Linked DNA regions of Arabidopsis thaliana. The protein of the gene in region 1 interacts with the protein of each later gene in a pairwise test. Each region holds a gene or a part of one and is shown in the gene's direction. Other genes may lie near its edges.

Region 1 (4,364 bases):
ATATCCACGTCAACCGAAATTAATGATTTGGTGTTCTATTTGCAATATTCACGTAAGCTCACGTAATTCATACGTTTTTGTTTGTCTTGCTAACTTTAGCTTCATCTCATTTATATACGCTGATATTGATTGCTATTTATCAAATATGGAGAAATGTGTTTAACTTTTAACATGATTTTTAGGATATTATTGTCGTTGATATATATATCCTTCACATCATTAATTATTATTATGGATGTGAAAATACTATAGAAAAGCTATTAAAACCCCAATCTTTGTTCATGAGACAACAAAATTCTGGAGTCGGTGAAGTAGACATGACTTAATGGATTCTAAGTTTGTCCGATTTCTCCTTTGTTCCCATGTGATGTCTTAAGATAAAATGATCATCATCACACTTTCTTTTTCTCTTACTCCTTTGTTTCGATTCATAAGGATATATTGCTTTCGTCCACTTCTAATATTCTTATATCACTTTATTTAAAAGACAATGTACAATTTAATAAAATTAATAATTTGATGAATGTTATTGATTCATATAGATATTTAAAATGTATTTGAAAAAGGGGTACAAATCTTATTGTGAATGGATAATTAATTAAGTTGCATACTTCAAAAGACAATCATGTGGATACTTTTTTATTATTAGTTTTATGGATTTGAAATTCTGAAAAATACTCGTCTCAATTATTCTTAGAACATTAAGTTTGACCTAAAAGAATGGTTTGACTAGTAATATGGGAATTATATAGGTGCCCCTTTTCACAGATGATGCATCCGAATAACAAAATCATATTACTTCTTATATCCTACCGTCCATATTAATTATATTAGATTACACATTTAAATATAATATATACATCATTAGATCTAATATAGAAAATCTTATTAAAAAAAAATCCTTATATAAAGAAAAATCACAAGGTTAACACAACCTTATCGATAAATAAAGATGTTAAAACTGATTTTTATATATGAAGCAAAAGTAAATTAGGGCTTAGTGATGTCTAGTTAAAGTACTTGTGTTTTGAAAAGGTAATGAGTCATGACTCAACAAGGTACACAAGGCGTGCATCGGGTAAACCACAACCTTTTGTAATTGTCGATATAACAGCATGCCAATATTCACATGGACCATATACTGTGTGTATATTATATATTACCATATATGTGAGTTACATTTCATATTGTAGAACCAAGGACTAAATTTAAACATAATGTACCATATTCTTTTAATTAGATTATTCATAAGATATCCAATTTAAAAGATGAGTTAAAATGATCAAGAAAACGCTACGCTGAACTCTAAAGTCTAATCTTTATCATTTATAGAAGTGTTATGAAACAAATCAATACCTGGTTAATAATTGATGTAGTTTCATTTTTTTTTTTAAGAAAAGAAAGTGATGAAGTGTTTAACTAGTCATAATATTATAGATCCAACTTCATTTCAATATATCACGAGTGCATTGGCGGCTGCAAAACATATTTTTGAAAAGAGCAAAAAAAAAAATCAAGGATCATAAATAATATAGGTCTTGGCTTTTTAATTCTACCAATAGATTTACAGTGGACAATTAAAGAAAAAAAATCACGAAATTATCATGGTTTGGCTAATTGAGATAAAATTCATACGTTTTCCATCAATAATCGTACATCATCCATTTCACAACAATAATTATTCCTAAAATGTCGTTATTTTCATAACATTGGTTAGATGTTCTAATAAGCTACTATTATATATAACTTCACGTCAATGTATGTTTGATTTTGGCATCTAAAATTTCTGTAAAATTTAGATATTCGCGTATACTTTTTTTGGGATTTTCTTCTTAGCCGTATTATAACTGCAACTCATATCACATACGTGGATGATAAAATATTCGAGTTTAATATCTCCTCCGTATGTAGATTTGATATGATCCATAATATTAAAGATGAAAATGAACTTGACTGATTATTCAGCGCATTCATTTTATTTTCCCTTCGAGGATAGCGAAATCCGCCACGTGGCATTACTACATCCATTGCTTTTTTTAACATAAATACTTAAGTCGCAATTCTTCTAAATTTTGGAGGCTTATGATATTGGTAGGGTTCTCATATTCACTTCCAAAAGCATCTTCTTCTTTCTAATTTTCTTTTTCTTTTTATCTTATTTTCATTTTATTCATATACTTTTTGAAAAGAAAAGTCGAATCACATACTTTCTTCTCTCTATTTCTCATTCTCTCTTCTTCATCATATTACTCATTTTATAGAACAGCAAAACCCTAGATTTCCTGTTCAAGCTCAAGACCGTACAAAACTTTGGAACTCATGTAAGAAACAGTACACGTTTTTTTTTTTGTTTCTTCTTCAGTCCGGATTATAAGAATTTTGTCGATTGAAGAAAACAGGCTAAATTAAACCCTAATTTTCTCTCTTAGACAATTCCTACTTTCTCTCCATTTTTCTGGATTCGCTCTCGTTTTAAAAGGATTCAGAAATTAACTATATTATTTGAATTCTTTTGCCATAATTCCCTTATGTTTTCTGCTAATGGATATACATTTGGTCTTCTTTCTGTATTAGATATAAAGATCTCGAGAATAGCATTATGAATATCGTCTCTTGGAAAGATGCAAACGACGAAGTTGCAGGCGGCGCTACGACAAGACGTGAAAGAGAAGTAAAAGAGGATCAAGAAGAAACCGAAGTCAGAGCCACCAGTGGCAAAACCGTAATTAAAAAGCAGCCTACATCGATCTCTTCTTCTTCTTCTTCGTGGATGAAATCCAAGGATCCGAGGATTGTTAGGGTTTCACGCGCCTTTGGAGGCAAAGACCGTCACAGCAAAGTGTGTACGTTACGTGGACTACGTGACAGACGCGTGAGATTATCAGTCCCAACGGCTATTCAGCTCTACGATCTTCAAGAACGGCTCGGTGTTGACCAGCCTAGCAAAGCCGTTGACTGGTTGCTTGATGCAGCTAAAGAGGAGATCGACGAGCTACCTCCGTTACCTATCTCGCCGGAAAATTTCAGCATCTTCAACCATCATCAGTCCTTCTTGAATCTTGGTCAACGGCCCGGTCAAGATCCGACCCAACTCGGGTTTAAAATCAATGGATGTGTACAAAAGTCTACTACTACTAGCCGCGAAGAAAACGATAGAGAGAAAGGAGAAAACGATGTCGTTTACACAAACAATCATCATGTTGGGTCTTATGGAACTTATCACAACCTGGAACATCATCATCATCATCACCAACATTTGAGTTTACAGGCAGATTATCATAGTCATCAACTACATAGTCTTGTCCCATTTCCATCACAAATTTTGGTATGTCCAATGACGACATCACCAACAACTACAACTATACAATCTTTGTTTCCATCATCATCGTCAGCTGGTTCAGGGACTATGGAGACATTAGATCCGAGGCAAATGGTAAGCCATTTTCAAATGCCATTAATGGGTAATTCTTCATCTTCGTCTTCCCAAAACATTTCGACATTATATTCGTTGTTACATGGTAGTAGTAGCAACAATGGTGGTAGAGACATTGATAATCGGATGTCGTCGGTCCAATTCAACCGAACTAATAGCACTACAACGGCTAACATGTCGAGGCATCTAGGCTCGGAGCGTTGTACAAGTAGAGGAAGTGATCACCATATGTGAAGTTAGATTATTGAAACGATATAATTGTTGTTTGATGTGTTCAGAAATAAGGGGACACAAAACAAAATATAAGGTAATTACTATTGTACTATGTTTTGCTGATATATTTTTTAATAGACAAATTAATGTTATAAATTGATTTATTAATTTACTATTAGCATGTGTTTTGAAACTTTCTCATGTATATATATATATATAGCTTCCTCATAGGATCTGAATACACACAAACATACATGAAATGTATTATAAGTATCTGATAGTAATGTATGCACTTTGAGATGAGAAGCTAAATTACATTCAGATTCATCAAATATTTAGCAAAAAAAAAAATCAGATTCATCAATAGGTAACGTAATAATATGAAATTGAATCTAATAATTTATACTGATCTGTTATCGAGGTATTATGTTTCTATTGGATGCACGGTACAATGCAACTATAGAACTCAATGTGACCGTAGCTAGATAGATTATTAGATGATGATATAAGTGGAGATTCCACAAAACCCAAACAAACCTAACATTACTATGTCATGTGAAGCAGATATATATTGAACCCATTATCAAATAGAAATTCATCATGAATGGTTATTATACATACAAGTGCCCATTTTAAAATCTTATTAGCATAGTAAGTAAACTATCAAGATGCAAAGAAGCCATTCCCATATAAAAATTAAGATGTGTAGCTAGGCTAA
Region 2 (5,003 bases), about 17 Mb from region 1:
AGATTCAATCTTCCAACAATAATTTATTCATTACAATGCAAGTACGTATGTGACTATTGGGGGTGTTAATTATTTCTTACATAAAGGAATAATTATAATTTACAGGACTCATGGTAAGTAATATTTATAATTTAGACCGACCACTTGTGTTTCTGTCATTTTACATTTATGAATATGAACAATCCATTTGATTCCGTCCTAGGTGGGAGTAGACTGCAATCTACAATAATTAATTTATAGTACAAAACCAATTGATTAGTGAATTGGTTTAAGTTATTAAACTAAAAGAAGTAATTATTCAAGGTTGAGCCCTAGCTATAGTGCCAGATATTTTTAATTAAATCCTAATTAAGCATTTAATTAAGACCCCAATAGACGAAACGAAAGCAAGTACCATCATCATATATAATCATGCATATTTATCAAAGTTTTATATTTTATAACAAGAGAGGGAATCCCAAAGCTATCATCATCATCCACATTTACTCTACCATACTTTCGATTCTTTATGCTCTTTTTATAATCTTAATTGTTGTTGAAACTTTTGCTTCTTTATTTTAAATATACGTTTATGGTGCTTATTTAAACAACAAATATGTAATACGTCGAAACAGTTTGTAATATGTGTACGTAATATTAAACTATATCATTTCTTCGAATAATAACACATATCACATATCATATGTTATTTACAAAAATTCTTCATCAAATACATTCATTAACATATATATATATATTTATATATATGACATCTATGATCATATATTTTTATTTTTATCAAAATAGTCATAGTTTCCATATGTATTATTAATAGAGTTTAGTTTACAATATTTCAAAGCCTTAATAAGTAGTTCTTTTACTTTGAAAAAACAAAAATAGACATTTATAATAGAAAAACAGAGAGGTTGGTTAAAATGCTAAAAGTCTCATTTTATTCATACTTTTAGTTTTTTCTTTTTTTTTTGAAAAACCCTATTTATTTGATAACATACATAAATCAACTTTTGGGCAGTGGTGTTACATACCATAGTTCTTCACTTTTTTTGTATAGAGATTTGCTATCTGATTAAATAAAAACGAATAATGCTTGGGTTTAAAATTGTGAATAACAATGATAATGTTTCTAGTTTCCGGCAAAAGTAGCAGGGGAAGAATGATTACGTGAATGATGTAGGACCCAAAACGTTTTGAAATAAATTACTAAATTTTTGACCAAATTGAGTTGTTTAATTTGGAGAGGAGTGTTGGCCCCATCACTCTCTCGTCGACCTCTCCATTGTCTTTATGGAATGAATGATAAAAGAGGACACCTCACGTGGACTCTGCTGCCACAACGACTCTCTCCAACCATATCCCCTTCACATATATGACATATTTTTCTTACATTTACTATATATTAAAGACTCCACATTGTACATTTTTTCATCTCATTTATTAACGCAACGTTCAGATTTTTCCATTTTTAACTAGTCGTGAAAAGTATTTTCGTTGTACGGTGAATATTGTAGCCCTTTTTTACGGTGGGTGTTTTTTTTTTCATTTGATTGATGAGTAAATCTACATCGAGAAAAGAATATAATGAAAGATATACCGAAATCTTTTGATTATGGACAGATTTATTTTGTTTAAACCTTTTTTTTTTTTTACTGTTTTAAAAAGTTGACTAAATGCTTATCTGAGAAAATAATTAACGTGAAAAATAATTTGATATAATTCGGATTAAGTTAACTATAACAGACTGATTTTGATTGAGCAGAAATTAACGTTGAAATATTCACATTGGCTAATTACATCAATTCATTTTTGCGTTGATTAAATGACACTTTCTTTTCTTCAACTATTAAATGATATTCCCATTGTTGACATTTCTCTAAGTATATGATTTTAAGTAATTTTCATAAAGAAGCAATGAACAGTATTTTCATTTGAAAAAAAAAAGATATGTAATGAGATTTTTCTTTTAATTTTTTAATGTTATGTAAAGCTCACCCATATAATTCTCACTCATGATCTTTGTTTCTTTAAGCTTTTCTTCTCCATTGTCTCTCTCTTTCTTATCCTCTCTTTCTCAATCAATTCCTTCAGACTTATACACTTTATTTTTTTTCCCCTCTTGTCGAAAACATCACATATAAATAAAAAACCAAAAACCCTAATTTATAAAATATATATAAAATAGTTATAGCTCCCCACTTATATATGCAAAAGCCAACATCAAGTATCTTAAATGTCATAATGGACGGTGGAGACAGCGTCGGAGGAGGAGGAGGAGATGATCACCACCGTCACCTCCACCATCACCACCGCCCTACTTTCCCTTTTCAACTACTCGGAAAACACGACCCCGACGACAACCATCAACAACAACCTTCCCCTTCCTCCTCCTCCTCTCTATTTTCTCTCCATCAACACCAACAATTATCTCAATCGCAACCTCAATCGCAATCGCAAAAGTCACAACCGCAGACAACGCAAAAAGAGTTATTACAAACGCAAGAGGAATCTGCGGTGGTGGCAGCTAAAAAGCCACCGTTGAAACGAGCGTCGACGAAAGACCGACACACGAAAGTAGACGGAAGAGGGAGGAGAATAAGGATGCCGGCGTTATGTGCAGCTAGGGTTTTTCAGCTAACGCGAGAGCTAGGTCATAAATCCGACGGTGAGACAATAGAGTGGCTTCTTCAACAAGCTGAACCATCTGTAATCGCCGCCACCGGAACCGGAACAATCCCGGCGAATTTCACTTCTTTAAACATCTCTCTCCGTTCTTCAGGCTCTTCCATGTCTCTTCCTTCTCATTTCCGCTCCGCCGCTTCCACTTTTAGCCCTAATAACATATTTTCTCCGGCGATGCTTCAACAACAACAACAACAACAACGTGGTGGTGGTGTTGGGTTTCATCATCCCCATCTACAGGGACGTGCACCTACGTCGTCTTTGTTTCCTGGTATTGATAACTTCACACCAACGACGTCGTTTTTGAACTTTCATAATCCAACAAAGCAAGAAGGAGATCAAGATTCTGAAGAGTTAAACTCGGAGAAGAAAAGAAGAATCCAAACGACGTCGGATTTGCATCAACAACAACAACAACACCAACATGATCAAATCGGAGGATATACACTTCAATCTAGCAACAGTGGATCTACAGCCACCGCAGCCGCCGCGCAACAAATACCGGGAAATTTCTGGATGGTTGCGGCGGCTGCGGCTGCAGGTGGTGGTGGTGGTAATAACAACCAAACAGGTGGTCTTATGACAGCTTCTATTGGTACTGGTGGCGGCGGTGGAGAGCCTGTTTGGACGTTTCCTTCCATTAACACGGCAGCGGCAGCGTTATATAGAAGTGGCGTTTCGGGCGTTCCAAGCGGCGCGGTTTCTAGCGGTTTACATTTTATGAATTTCGCAGCGCCAATGGCATTTCTTACTGGACAACAACAGCTAGCAACAACTAGTAATCATGAGATTAATGAAGATAGTAATAATAATGAAGGAGGAAGAAGTGACGGTGGTGGTGATCATCATAATACACAGAGACATCATCATCATCAACAACAACATCATCATAATATTCTCTCCGGCTTGAACCAGTACGGACGGCAAGTTTCCGGCGACTCTCAAGCTAGTGGATCACTTGGAGGTGGTGATGAGGAGGATCAGCAAGATTAGACACACACAAAAACATTTTAACGGTGGGATTTTCTGCCGACGGCGGTAGCGGTGACGGCGTTCGGCGGCTGTGTAAAACTTTTGTTTTCACCGTTAATTTTTTTTATTTTCTGTAGTAATTTTTTTTGCTAAGTAAAAAAAAAAAAAAAAACACGTGAGATTTTCTTTTTAATTTTGATTTTTTTACTTGATTTTAAATTTGATTTTTCTTGTGAGTGAGTGATTAAATAGTACACGAGATTTTTTATGTCAGGTTTTTTGGATTTTGAGGAGAATATGACACTTTTTTTTATCATTATTGTTTTTAATTGTTTTTTTTCTTCTTCTGATAGTGTCACTGTCGTCTCGATTCTCAATCATCTTCGTTTTCTTTATCCATTAAGAAATTAATTATACATAAAGAAAAATTCTAAAAAGTATTCGTCAAACAATGTTGGTTCCTATAGTAATAATAGTAACATATACATCAAAGTATAATCTTACTGTTTTTTTAGTAACATTACGTTTTTTTAAGTGTTAATACAAAAAAAATTGAGAAACTATTTTATCAAGGAATGAGATGGGCCTCTCTCTATTGGCCCACCAATCTCTGTTATATTTGGCCCTTGAAGTAGTTGTTTCAAAGCTAATAGAAAACAGCAAAGTGTCTCGTTTGTTTTACATGGTCGAACGAAAACGATACAAAAAACATAAAAATATCTCGTTTGATCTTATATGCTATGAAATATATTAAATGCTTTTTTTAGTATATGATTCATTTTATCTCTGTTTCTTTGTCGTTTGTCCCCACTAAACAATCAATCTGATTTTGTATATGATGAGATATCTAATACTATTATATCATGATATTGTTAAAACTGGTTTTGTATATGATGATAATATTATATCAAGACTAGTTTAGACTATGAGAATTAATTAGAAAGTGATATAGTTTGAATGTCGCGTACAAAGTTATGGCTCAAAATTTTGTTTCTTTTTTTTTGACGAAGTACACCAAAAATATTTGATTGTTTCAGTATATTCTTTTTGTGTTTGTATGCCTTTAGAAAGTAATATTAACAATTTGTAAATTGATAGTGTTTAATTAGAACATAATTTACTTTATAAAATCTATTATTATGTTGTGAAAGAAAATATTCACTCAACATCGATCGGTCATATATTCAAGAATCAAGATAAATAATCTGAAGTTTTAAAAATCTGTTTTCGCATGGGTTAAATATAAGTTTTTACAAAAAGGATGAAGACAGAAAACAAATAAAAATAAATGTGAATGCAGACTATATAATATATCATTGAATGTATAAATTATACAAATTCAATAAGTAGAGAAA
Region 3 (3,483 bases), on another chromosome or scaffold:
TCACGTGAACACGAAAGCCACATTCACATTTTTCTCCAAAATATTTCTTGAAAATGATTATTAGTACTGTAGTAGCTTATATAGCTTTGGGGTATCTCTCTTTTTTTTACTGTGCTTATAGGTAGGGTTAATTTAAATAATTAGATATGTCAGAGAGAGAGAAGTCAGACATCAGAGTTCGCACGTGTATAAATTTTGTTAGATATGGACCAATGCATTTGTTCAATCAAAACGACAGACCCTAAGCCTTGTCACGTGAAAGGAAACACAGATTTTTTTATTTATTTTTAAATAACCCTAAAACCAAACAAAAACATCTTACAAAATGTCAAGAAATAGAGAAGTTAAAAGACAAATTAATCTAATAAAACTTCAGTTGATAAAACAAAAACAAAAAACCTCTAACTAATTTGTTTTAATTCATTGTCTATTACTGAAAATTATAAGCCACTTCAATTGCTATAAATTTTTGACTCCTATGATTACTATATATTTTACACAATATAAAGACTTAAACTACGTCACTTTTTAGAGGGAAAAGAAAGAGCCTATGTAATCTACTCTATTAGTATAGACTAGAGAGTATAGTAAGTTTGCATAAGATGGGCTAATGAATTTTGGACAAAAAGAAAAACAAAATCAGTCAGAGCTAAAGATAGAGTAGTTGTGTCAAGTAACTTTATTTAATGATCTCCTTGTAGCCTTGTCCTCGTGCATCATAAATATATATGGGTGCCAATAAAACCCCAAAAGAGAGCATTTAAATACTTGTCAAATAATAGAGTGAAAGATACAAAAGATAGAGAGAGATGGCTATTATCAGTACTAGGGATTACGTCAGCATCCCTATGCCACAGGTTCAGTCAAAGAGGCGGCCCATTTTTCTTTCCTCTTCGTAAATGTACAAGATTATTTATTTTTAGTTCTTTTTTCTTTGATCATTTTGTATCAATGGTTGCTGTGAGAAAAAGCATCGAGATTGTTACGATCGAAAACAAAGTACTTGAATTATGAAAAAATGTTTGGAGAGCCTATGCAAAAATGATCTTTCTATCTTCTTTTTATAATAGCATAAATTTCATAGTATGGCATTATCGTCACTAGCAAGTAATGAGTTAATTTACCATAAGTTACAACGGTAATGAGGTTGTTTGGAGAGTAGAACTAAAATATTTTATTTCTAACCATTACCTAACAAATCTTTTTTATATAACAGAAGTTGTAAATGGTAGATAAGAAAACAGTATTAGCACTCAAAGGAATGATTAGCATTGTTTTCTTTCATGTCCTAGAATAAGTCCACTCACCACTAGAAGTATTCACTTTATGAGAAATCCTATTGTATTTTTTCAAATACATCAACTTATTAAAACAACATTATTTTGGTGTAGAACACCCACGTGTAACAATCTCTCAGCATACCACCGTCACATCACCCAACAGCAAAAGATCGAACGGTGCTTGATTCTTGCAAACCCCAGAGAAAACCTCGATCCTAGAAATCAAACACTATTCAGTTTTGTTTTTACTATTAACTTGCCATATATATTACGTATAGGCAACAAATAAAGATAGATAATCGTCAAAAGAAGCCGAGGATTACGGGTGTTCTCAAGCGGCCCTACAAACACACCTCTTGCTCTTTAAACTCACTCACTCTCTCTCTCATTTGGGTCAAACGAGCCAACAAAGCAAAACCTCTTTCTTCTCTTCTCCACTTTCTCTCTAGATTCTCTCATATTTCCCCTCTTGAGAGTCTAACAATGGCGTCAACGACGTGTGCAAGAGAGGTGCATTACAGAGGAGTCAGAAAGAGACCTTGGGGTCGCTACGCTGCTGAGATACGAGATCCTTGGAAGAAAACTAGGGTTTGGTTAGGCACTTTCGACACTCCCGAAGAAGCTGCTCTTGCTTACGACGGCGCTGCTCGTTTCCTCCGTGGTATCAAAGCCAAAACTAACTTCCCTTCTCCTCTCTCTCTCGACCTCAACCACCTCCCTTCCGCTCCCTCAGCCGCAACCGCCGCCGCAAATAACCAACCCCACCAACACCAACAGCTCTGGTTCGCTGCGCCTCCTCCTGTTCCTCCAAGCTCCGACCATCATCACCAACACCACCGCATTTTTCTCCGAACCGGTGTGCTAAACGACAAAACTTCAGATTACTCTTCTACAGAAGCGCCGCTTTACTTCACCTCCTCGCCTAACACAGCCACGTCATCGCCTGGTTATCAAGTGGTTGGGTTTCCGATGATGAATTCTTCTCCTTCCCCTGTTACGGTGAGACGTGGCTTAGCCATTGACCTCAACGAGCCTCCGCCGCTTTGGCTTTGAAAACAAACGATAAAGATGGATATAGCGGCGCCGTTTTGCCTACTTTTCTATACGGCGCCGTTTGAGACCACTTTCGGTGGAACTACTTTAGTTTCTTTTTTTAGCAAATAGTATCTTTTTGTTAGAGTTAGTAGACTTGTTTTTATAATTTAATCCTTCTTTTGTTCGTTATGTAAGAGTCGGAGATCGATTGTTGTTGTGAGATCCATATGTTGCGGAAAAAACAAGAAACTTCTTAATTAGCAACACAAAAACTTAACAACGTCTGAACGTGGATCTAATTATGTTTGTGGATCGTGTTACGACCGTCGCTTATGTCGGTTTCGAGGGGGTTTTAAAAATCTTATCGTATTCTATGGCGTGTCGTGAAGTACGGACTGACTTGTGCAGCTGTTTGCTTTGCTAGTGTCCTGTTTGACTCACGCGCCTCTCTCTTAAATCACGACAAAAGACGGACTGAGAAAAGAAGGAAACAAACAAAAGAGATAGAGACTAATGAGAGACGTAAATGCTGAGCAAGCGTGTGAGTTTGGACTGGCTTATTCACTTACGGACAAGATATGTGTATTATGAGTCTTGAGTTTGTAAATAAATTGTATTTTTTTATTTATTTTGAAAATTTTCATATGAATTCGAACAAAAGTTTTCTGATAAAATTAGAGGAAGTTTAATTGTCCTATAATTTTTCTGCTCATGTTTACCAATCTTATATATGTTATGCGTGTATACATATATATATAGAAGCATCTAAAAATATAAAATAAATAAAATTTTTGACGGTCCTATATAGATAAATATCAAATTCACATAACAAATTTATCTACAGAAGTCTTAAAATAACGCAAATTTCAGTAGTAAATGAAACAAACATGTTTGATATAATCAAATATCATAAGAAGTCAAATTAATTAACTAAAGGAGATCTCACGTAGCGAAATCAAAACTTTCATGCAGATTGTGAAGATTTTATGTTTATGTTTTATATGTAGAACCGGAATCGTGTAGTTTTATGAGACTATAAAACAGTCATAGAACTGTTACATGTGTTAGACACTTAGACATATGTATTGACTAAACAAAGATCATGCATTATGCATATTGCTTTCATAAAAGATCAAATTCTAACAGTTTCGTTGCAACTTCTTTTTAT

Evidence for each region. Proteins that work in one complex are often made in the same cells at the same time.
Region 2: the proteins of PTF1 (region 1) and TCP14 interact in binary tests that used the Arabidopsis thaliana proteins (3 or more experiments, as listed by UniProt).
Region 3: the proteins of PTF1 (region 1) and ERF12 interact in binary tests that used the Arabidopsis thaliana proteins (3 or more experiments, as listed by UniProt).

Annotation. Positions count from the first base shown.
Region 1 is NC_003074.8:388,923-393,286, forward strand, and holds PTF1 (plastid transcription factor 1), read left to right. Parts: upstream 1-1,797; 5' UTR 1,798-2,321; intron 2,322-2,574; 5' UTR 2,575-2,599; coding exon 2,600-3,667; 3' UTR 3,668-3,845; downstream 3,846-4,364. UniProt on the Arabidopsis thaliana protein: Plays a pivotal role in the control of morphogenesis of shoot organs by negatively regulating the expression of boundary-specific genes such as CUC genes, probably through the induction of miRNA (e.g. miR164).
Region 2 is NC_003074.8:17,556,805-17,561,807, forward strand, and holds TCP14 (TEOSINTE BRANCHED, cycloidea and PCF (TCP) 14), read left to right. Parts: upstream 1-1,988; 5' UTR 1,989-2,199; coding exon 2,200-3,669; 3' UTR 3,670-4,455; downstream 4,456-5,003. UniProt on the Arabidopsis thaliana protein: Transcription factor involved the regulation of plant development. Binds to the Up1 elements (5'-GGCCCAWW-3') in early light-induced proteins (ELIPs, e.g.
Region 3 is NC_003070.9:9,950,171-9,953,653, forward strand, and holds ERF12 (ERF domain protein 12), read left to right. Parts: upstream 1-1,591; 5' UTR 1,592-1,763; coding exon 1,764-2,333; 3' UTR 2,334-2,935; downstream 2,936-3,483.